Bombyx mori: one gene and its partner. The protein of the gene in region 1 interacts with the protein of each later gene in a pairwise test. Links are inferred from orthologs where the notes say so. Each region holds a gene or a part of one and is shown on either strand. Other genes may lie near its edges.

What was found.
Region 2: the proteins of Run (region 1) and protein big brother interact in a two-hybrid assay, tested with the Drosophila melanogaster proteins (2 studies listed by BioGRID). The link is inferred for Bombyx mori from reciprocal best matches to the Drosophila melanogaster genes run and Bgb.

The regions. Positions count from the first base shown.
Region 1 is NC_085109.1:9,753,478-9,758,242, forward strand, and holds the start of Run (runt), read left to right. Parts: upstream 1-1,796; 5' UTR 1,797-2,137; coding exon 2,138-2,582; intron 2,583-4,765. UniProt on the Drosophila melanogaster protein: Plays a pivotal role in regulating the expression of other pair-rule genes such as eve, ftz, and h.
Region 2 is NC_085110.1:9,019,102-9,023,887, forward strand, and holds the start of protein big brother, read left to right. Parts: upstream 1-1,918; 5' UTR 1,919-2,179; coding exon 2,180-2,347; intron 2,348-4,552; coding exon 4,553-4,732; intron 4,733-4,786. UniProt on the Drosophila melanogaster protein: Regulates the DNA-binding properties of Runt.

The DNA of each region.
Region 1 (4,765 bases):
ATGATGTTTAACAAATTCTTATCATTATCCTATTACCAGTTACGGTAACGGTACCATTTTTTTAAAAGTTTCCGTTTTTATCTCATTATGCTGTAAATATATAGGTACATGAATCAAGATTGTTGTGTGTAAAAGAAACGTAGCACATATTCACTTATTTATGCATCAGATCAAGTAGGTACGTACTTTATCATGTCCAAGTATCTATCTAACCTATTTGAATATGCAATTTCGAAAAGGGCACATCTCTGAAAATGTAAAATGTTCAGGAAATGAAAAAAACTGATTATTTTCTAAAGCAGTGTAAAATTTAAAATATTAACTTTTGAGATATAGTTTTAGTATTAATTAGCAATTGAAGATTACTAGAATTATTATAAAATGGGTGTAGGTAAGCCTCAAAACTACATGTATATGAAAAAACGTATTTGACAAAATATGCGACATGTGCCTTTTCGAAATTGCATATTCAAATACAAGTTTCATTTTTGGCCTTGAAGTCGTAAATTCTCTTTTGGAATGATTATAATTAGTACTGAAAAGGTTTACTAGTAACATATAGGTAGACCGTGGATTCTCAAATTTCGCATTTTGATTCGAACTACAAACTCTTTATAATACATTCACATCGTGAATATACTTTAATTACATAGATAACACGAAGAACTAAAATAAAAAAACAATTACCTATGTTCTCAAAAAAGTTTTATTGTCAAAATTTAAACAAGTTCGAAATTCGAACGCGTGACGTAAGACATGCCGCGCGTGAAAAGCGCGGGAAACTGTTTGGAAAGTTGGCGAGCTCGCACCGCCTGTCGCCCCGCCCCATACTCCGGCTGTTCTGTTCGCACAGCGCACTGACTCCTTCGCACGCCAACTCGCGGCTAACCACACGCGGACGTGGCTTTCTCAATCTATCACTCTTTGTTTAGCTCCTTATTTTTGATTGGAGCCGAAATACGAATTTTCGTAATTGAGAACACGTAGCTTTTCGGTTGAAAACTTGAATTAGAATCTCAATAACTAATTTACAATCAAGCATCGGGTAGACAATCGAGTTGGTCGAATGAAATATTAATAATATAAAAATCACATAAATCTAAATTATTTATAAGTAATAATATCCAGAATGTTGTGTTTTTTTTTTCGTTTTCTAGGAAATAAAATTAAGCCTGTTTATCTCATATACAAACATTATAATTTATATCTGTAGTGCATATTTGAGTAGCATGATTTTTTTATAAATAATGATGAGTAATTCTATTCCTTTTTTTTCGTATAATTTGGCGATGCAGACATAATTAATCAACTCAAAAAATTCGACGGGTGTCGTTGGATAGCCGTGCCATTGAAATTCTTCACGTGCTTCAATGAAAATGAAGTGCCTCCCCATGAGTGCGGCACCTCTCCAATACTTTTGTCGACTCAAAACATGAAAATCATAATTTTTCATGAGCTCGTTGATAGGTTTTCGCACCGGTCGCGGTTTCCCGCCGCCCCGCGGCCTAATTACCGTCACTTTACGATACGTCACCGCGTTGATTCAAAAAAATCCACCCATCCCTCTCTCGCAGGCGGGCGACGTGCGACGGCGTCCCGCTCGAACGAGAATTTTTATAAAAACGCAGAGATCAACCGCGGCCGTCCCGCTCGTTCCCGCCGCGGGACCGCATCACCCGCACCCTTCGTCTCCTTCCCGCTTTTTACGAGACGTAGGGGCCGCCACCCGGGTGGGGGCGGCGACCGCGCGAACGCAAAATATTGACCATCGGAAAAAGTCGCGTCGTATCACAGTCATCAGTCGAAACCGAGTTCCCGCGGCACGCGTCCCTTGGCCGCTACTTCGGAGCGCGTCGTGAGTCTTCGGCTTGCGGTCGCGCGACCGCCCGTTTATTTTTCCGAGTCCCCCGCCCGGCGTCTTGCCGTCCGCGCCCAACAAGTGGTGTAGACTGTAGACGGTGACTCGCAGCTCACACGACGTCTCGCGCTCGCACTTTACACAACTTTTCCGAGTGCTCCCCGCGCACGCAACGGTCGCCGCGAGTTCGAACTTCGGTCGCGTGTTTTTAAAACTTTAATCGAAGTGTTCAGACCTCAGTGGCGTGTCAGAGAAGTGTTCGGGGGTAGTTTGAAGTCGATGCACCTCCCGCACGCGAGTCCTGCCGTCAGGATGGCAGACGTTTACGCTCATATCCACGAGTACTACCGGCAGAGTCACGGAGAGTTAGTACAGACTGGTTCTCCGGCTGTCTTGTGCTCTGCGTTACCTGGCCATTGGAGGTCGAATAAATCATTACCGTTGGCTTTTAAAGTAGTGGCACTAGATGACGTTCAAGACGGCACTCTAGTTACGATAAAGGCTGGAAACGACGAGAACGTGATGGCCGAACTCAGGAACTGTACCGCGGTGATGAAGAACCAAGTGGCAAAGTTCAACGACCTGAGGTTTGTCGGTCGGAGCGGACGAGGCAAGTCCTTCACCCTCACCATCACCATCAGCTCATTTCCTTCACAAGTCGCCACCTACACCAAAGCAATCAAAGTAACGGTCGATGGACCAAGGGAGCCGAGAACAAAACAAAGTAAGTTACTATATCTGTAATGTTTCATATATTTTGTGCGTATATAATAATATGTACCACCAAACTTTGTCTATATCTGCCGCGAAGCTCAGAACAACCGCAATACAACTAAGACTTCGATTTGATATGTCAAAGCGAGTGCCAGCAATCCTGTAGTGATGTCTATGACTCCGACAACCACTTATCATCAAACTGAACGTAAGCTCGTACACACTTTTAAGCAAAAAAAAGATATAAATGAATATTACAATTAATAATATATTTGAAAATGTGTACGAAATCAACTATATAAAATATATAACTTTATAAGTACTGTACAACGATCAACGGGCAAATATTAAATCCATAACTAATTGATTATAACACTATATACTATACACTATATACGACTGTATACTAGATATCAATACTGTGGTTTCAGAGGCAATTAGATAGATACTTATAAAATGCCGTTGCTAATAAATGATTTGGGGTTTGTGTACTAAATTTAAAAATACTAAACCTTACTCAAAAGATTATGCGACAATCTATTTATTTAGCAGTTGAGACTGGTAGGTTTGCGATTTATTTGATGTTACGAGTCCATCGTAACTTAGGCGTCATACGGTGGATACTATTGCTCACCTTGAGCAATTAGGTCAAGGTCTCAATTGGATTGCAATGACGGCTTTTCGATCGAAATATGCAACAGAATTAGACAGTAGACAATAAGAACATCCTAGCTAACTTTCGGCTAATGTTCTAGGAAAGTAATTTAAGTATATTTCTACTACCACAGTAGAATATGATGAGGAAGTGTTTTACTGGTGGTAGGACCTCTTGTGAGTTCGCACGGGTAGGTACCACCACCCCGCCTATTTCTGCCGTGAAGCAGCAATGCGTTTCGGTTTGAAGGGTGGGCTAGCCGTTGTAACTATACTGAGACCTTAGAACTTATATCTCAAGGTGGATGGCGCATTTACGTTGTAGATGTCTATGGGCTCCAGTAACCACTTAACACCAGGTGGGCTATGTGCTCGCCCACACATCTAAGCAATTAAAAAAAATATATAGTAGTTCGTCCGAGTCTATTTTCCATATTTTTTCAATAACAACCGAACACAGTCTTAACATTTATTAATAATAAAATAACTCAATAGTTACTAGACAAAAAGACAAATACATTTTAGTTGAAAATTAACAAATCCAATTTTGAAATTTATTATCAGTTTGTTACATGGACAGGAAAAATATACTTACTACTATACTATTATAGAAACACATTTTTCTTGCCTAACACATTCCATGGTATGTTATTCAAAAGTTTTTTAACAAAATATTCTTCCAAAAACAGTAGCCATAAAACGGTGAAATGTAAATTCTTTGACAGTAAACTTAAAAAAAAACCCTCCGTTTCTCAAAAAGTCACTACTGGAGATTAACCATTAGTCGCAAAAAATAAAGATTAATTTAGTTTTGACTATACTTCTAAACACACCCGTTGGTTCAACCGATGATCCGTCAGATTATATTCGCAATTAAACTCGTATGTATTTACAACTACATTGGTTATAAAAAACGCGGGAACGCATAGATCACGATTTATAAATCTACAAATACATAAATTAAAAAAAAAAGTAATCACCAAGTTAATCTATGATTTTGATATTGAACCCCGTGTAAGCTATAGAGTATTCGAACAATTAGAAATAAAGAAAAAAACACGCTTAATGTAAGTAAGATCTACGCGGAAAAAACTACGTGAAAACACTAGAAAACACAGGATAATCTGTATTTGAATACCAAAAGGTACATTCTATTGAACTATCCGAATATTTTATTTGTAACAGAAAATTTTTCTAAAAGCAAAAATCATTCCATAGATAAACGATAACAATCCGAAGCTAATAAGTTTCGAAAAAAAAAAAAAAAAAAACAATATTGCAATTTTTCTAACATCAATCATTTCATTGTTTAATTAACATTGAAATTTATCGGTGCTGCTTACATAAATAACACAAAAAAAAAAAACATAAAAAATATATATATCTTATAATCGTGTCAAAGTGATGTGACGTTTCACTCTGGCCGGGCGCCAGTCCACGGTCCGAGGTCGGTTTTGCGGCGCCGCGGCATTCGACCACATTCAAACTAGTTTTATTTTCGTTTTCACGCGTTTAAAACAATCCTAAAACACTTGACAT
Region 2 (4,786 bases), on another chromosome or scaffold:
ACTTTTCCTAAGCTGTCATTTATCTTTGGTCAGGATGCGAAAGTGATTAATTTCTGAAAATGAAAATCGTGCCCCACAATAATACAGTAGTTTAGGTAAGTTATGAATTTTATCATTGTAAGTTACAGGTTTGATATGAAGTAGACAAACAAAAAGAAATGAATTATAGAAATATAACTATCAACATTAACTTTATTTGTATTGTCGCTTGTATAATGGGTTTAATAGTTATGTTTAAGTTATTGGTTCATAATATTTTAGTAAATAAATAAACCAAATTCGACTTTATCTCCAGCAGCAATATGCAATTTAAAGTTTAACCATAGTGAACTTTTTAATAGTAAAATTTTCACACTTATTTCGGCCACGGTAGTTTTTGCGTGATACATTTTTTTATATTGACATAGGCGATAAACCAGCAAACTTACTTTGAAGTTGAGGTCTCAATTGTATTAGTTTTTTTTTTATTGCTTATATGGGTAGACGAGCTCACAGCCCACCTGGTGTTAAGTGGTTACTGAAGCCCATAGACATCTACAATGTAAATGCGCCACCCACTTTGAGATATCAGTTCTAAGGTCTCAGTATAGTTACAACGGCTGCCCCACCCTTCAAATCGAAACGCATTACTGCTTCACGGGAGAAATAAGCAGGGTGGTGGTACCTACCCGCGCGGACACACAAGAGGTCCTACCACCAGTAAGTACCATTGTAAAACGTTTCTCTTCAAACGGAAACCCATGACTGCTTTTCGGCTGAAATAAGCAAGACGGCGGCGGTACTTATGGGTGTGGATTTAAATAATATACGCCTCACCACCAAAAATTTCGCCGCTTCATTTTATTACACGATGTTGTTATTTGTTGGTGGAAGTAGTTCTTGAACACTGATGTGATGCGTATGTTATTAAAAAAAAGGTAAATTGGTTTAAAAAAATTGGTACTGCCTGCCACTGCAGGCATTTGCCATGAACACTGACCTGATTATGTCATCGTTTGATAAGAGTACATCGGGCATCTTATCCTTTTGGATAACTTGAAAAGAATTTAACAATCAATGAAAAACGGACTAAGAAAATTAATTGGACTCAAGTATAGTTAACCAAAGCACTCTCTAATTCTATAATACTAAGCTTAGATAGATTCAAATAAATTATTTCGAATAGTTAATGTTTTAATAGTAGTGTACATACCTATATTCTACTGTATGAGACAGCCTTATTGCGAAGATGTATTGTTAACAATAGAAGACGACAACTGATAGTTATCGGCAAACACTTACCAAGAGATAAGTTTAAGTGCACTTTATACATTTCACAGGATGTGTGCCGCCTATTGTATTTTAAAAAAAATTATGGAAGTACTTAAATTCGTCCGATTGAGATGTTTCACATTGATTTTGTTTTCTAATCTCTTCGAAAACTTTTTAATTACGATTAGTTAGATAAAATATGTAGAAAAAATATTATTTTTATATTTTCTTTAATTATTATTGAAAGCTAACGTGACAACATTTTAAAATTGTACTTTACAGATCGAGTAAGGGTAAAGACTGACATTTGATTCATGAATAATGGCGTTACGAAAATCCTTGTTAGCTTTATCGTGGATCGAAATCAAGAATAATAATTTAAGTAGCCCTATAAAATAAGTATAATAGCATACAAAAATATCACATTTCACTGTATGACATCCTGGCTTGACTACCCCTTGATAAATCGGTCGTATATAACATACATTTATCTCGCTACAAAGGAACAAAAGCATCGATACAAGTATATAAAACACTCGAAACTTCCAAAAAGGATAATGCCCATCATTATAAATTCATGTGCTTTGTCGTTTACAGTATTTATTTTCAACAGTTTCGTTAGGGGAAAACCCTCTTTTCGCTCGAAAGCTCCCGAAAGCGTTGAGAGAAGGCGTCGGGCGTTTCGTTCGGGCACGGGTATTGGCTCCACACTTCCCCACCACGCTAAGTCTCCGCCCTAATGAAAATTCTCCCCTAGAGCATGGTATGAGATTTCATTCAGTACCGGAATGTCACGGAGGCAGGTGGTCGTGTCGTAGTACGTACGTCAATTCGTATTATTTGAGTCATTCGTAACGCTGAGTCAGTGAGGCACGCGCGCTAAGTGATGTTTGGTTCCGTGCAAGCAAAGCTATAGGAGCCGTAGGTTATGCACGCTATGAGTGATCCTTCGCCGTTGGCCGGCATGTTGCCTTTTGACTCTATCTACGAGCAGCCAAAGCCAAGGTTCATTTTCAAAATGCCACGTGTAGTGCCCGATCAAAAAGCCAAATTCGAATCAGACGATCTCTTCAAAAGACTTAGCAGAGAAAGTGAGGTGAGTTTTTATAAATGCCAACTTTAACAATTGTATGCAAAGTGAATTGAGTATTCGTTTTTAAATTTTAATGGTCCGATTGCTAAGCCATGCTTTAAACAAACAGGAAAATAATGCATTTGTATAATGTTATATTAGTCATCGACAAATAATTAGCGTAAAATACTTTAACTTATAGTAGTAGTTAGTTCTACATGATAAATATAATAACAAAAAAATTGAAAATTCACTAATACTTATTTAAAACATTTGTAATTCTTAATTTTATTAATTTTTTAATTCCATATAACATGTTATTACAAGGAACAATTGACGATAGGATGATTTAAACCTTTTTCGATCAGAATGTACGAAGTTTGACCGAGTAGAAGGTTCTTTGATTGAAACATAAAATAGTTTCAAACATATTTCATTTATTTCTTATTATCTTATCTTATCAATTATCATTTACTGAACTTAATTTTGATTAAAATAAACGCATTACTATGTACATACCCGACCTAAATACTGAATCTGCATGCTAACTTTCATATCTAACTAAAAGAGAAATCATAAATTCATGTTTATCTTATGGAATTCATGGATTTCGCTGTGAATTTACAATACACCCACAAAAAGAAGAAAAAAAACAAGTCAGAAAGATATGAAAAGGAGTAGGTATACTTAATATGAGACTTCAAAGCGATATTAGCCCACTGAGTTTCTCGCCGGATCTTCTCAGTGGGTCGCGTTTCCGATCCGGTGGTAGATTCTGCGAAGCACTACTCTTGCTAGGGTCAGTGTTAGCAACACTCCGGTTTGAGCCCCGTGAGCTCACCTACACACGTCAGGGTGAAGCTGAAATAGCCTCTCAATACTATCAGCATAGGTAGGAAAAAAAAAGAGGAAAAAAATAAATAAATACAAAAGCGATATGCGGAAATAACAATTAGGAAACAGGTTAATGATGTTCTGGGTTATCGTTAGAAACTTGAACGTATGTATGTACATACATCTAAGCGGCTCAATCCACATCGCACGAATAAATAGCAGTAAAATAATTCATTGTAACCATGTTTAGGGCATATCTATGAAAATTAACAGACGAGTACGAAAACACTTATTACCGGTGGTAGGGACCTTTTGTGAGTCCGCACGGATAGGTACCACCGCCCTGCCTATTTCTGCCGTGAAGCAGTGATGCGTTTCGGTTTGAAGGGTGGGGCAGCCGTCGTAACTATACTGAGACCTTAGAACTTATGTCTCAAGGTGGGTGGCGTATTTGCGTTGTAGATACCACCACTTAGTGTAGTAACCACTTAACACCAGGTGGGCTGTGAGCTCGTCCAGCCATCTAAGCAATAAAAAAAAAAGACATACATGTAAATAGTTATTGGAAATACCTGAGGAATAGCCTAGGATAAAACTAAATAGCATACGGAAAGGAAACCTATACTCGTCGAATGATCCCAAATCATAGATACAGCCCACTGAGTTTCTCGCCGAACCTTCTCAGAGGGTCGCGTTTTCGATCCGGTGGTAGATTCTGCGAAGAACTGCTCTTGCTAGGGTCAGTGTAAGCATCACTCCGGTTTGACCCCGTGAGCTCACCTACTAGCTAAGGTTACGCTGAAATAGCCTCTCAAGGCTCGGCTTAGGTAGGAATTTAAAAAAAACCAGCAAATGAACACAGCATTAAATTTTATTCAAATCAATTTAACGATTTATCTTTAATAGCTCGAATTTAATTTATTCAAGCTTTATTTAAATTTACTATAAACTTTAGTAATTAATTGACCAAATAGGAAATAAATGACTAATACAATGAAATAATAAATAATCATTATAAGTAGGTTTACTTATTTCACGTGCAATAAAAAATCTGCTGCACATTCTGTTGCACAAACTTGTCTGAAGGAATTTCATAACTTTTTTAATGATTCGCAAACCTTCTGTTGTAAATCAAAACGAGTAAGCATTTACAAGAGCGATCATCAAGTAGACAAGAATAGCCTAAAAGAAATTATCCACGGTGTACTAACCGAATTGAAGAAGGAATATATTTATAAATATCAATAGTATAATGCACTCCTCTTACTGTCCATATTGTGAATATTTATTTTTTAGCGCACTACGCACTAGATGATGTTTATGTAAATAGATTTTCAAAATGCTTTGATACGCAAGATAAACAGTATATTTATGGGATGATATATTTGTTGGCAGGTTAGATACACTGGATACCGAGACCGGCCTCCCGAAGAACGCCAGATGCGATTCATGAGCGGTTGCCGCGAGGGACACACGGAGATAGCGTTTACCGGTACCGGCACAAACCTTCAGCTTGTCTTCGATCACTCACCCTACAACAACCGTGGCTGCGACTTTCAAAAGGAAAATGGAAAAGTAAGTCTTAAATGTTGTTTTACGTAAACATCGAAACGGTTTTCTGGTCAATGG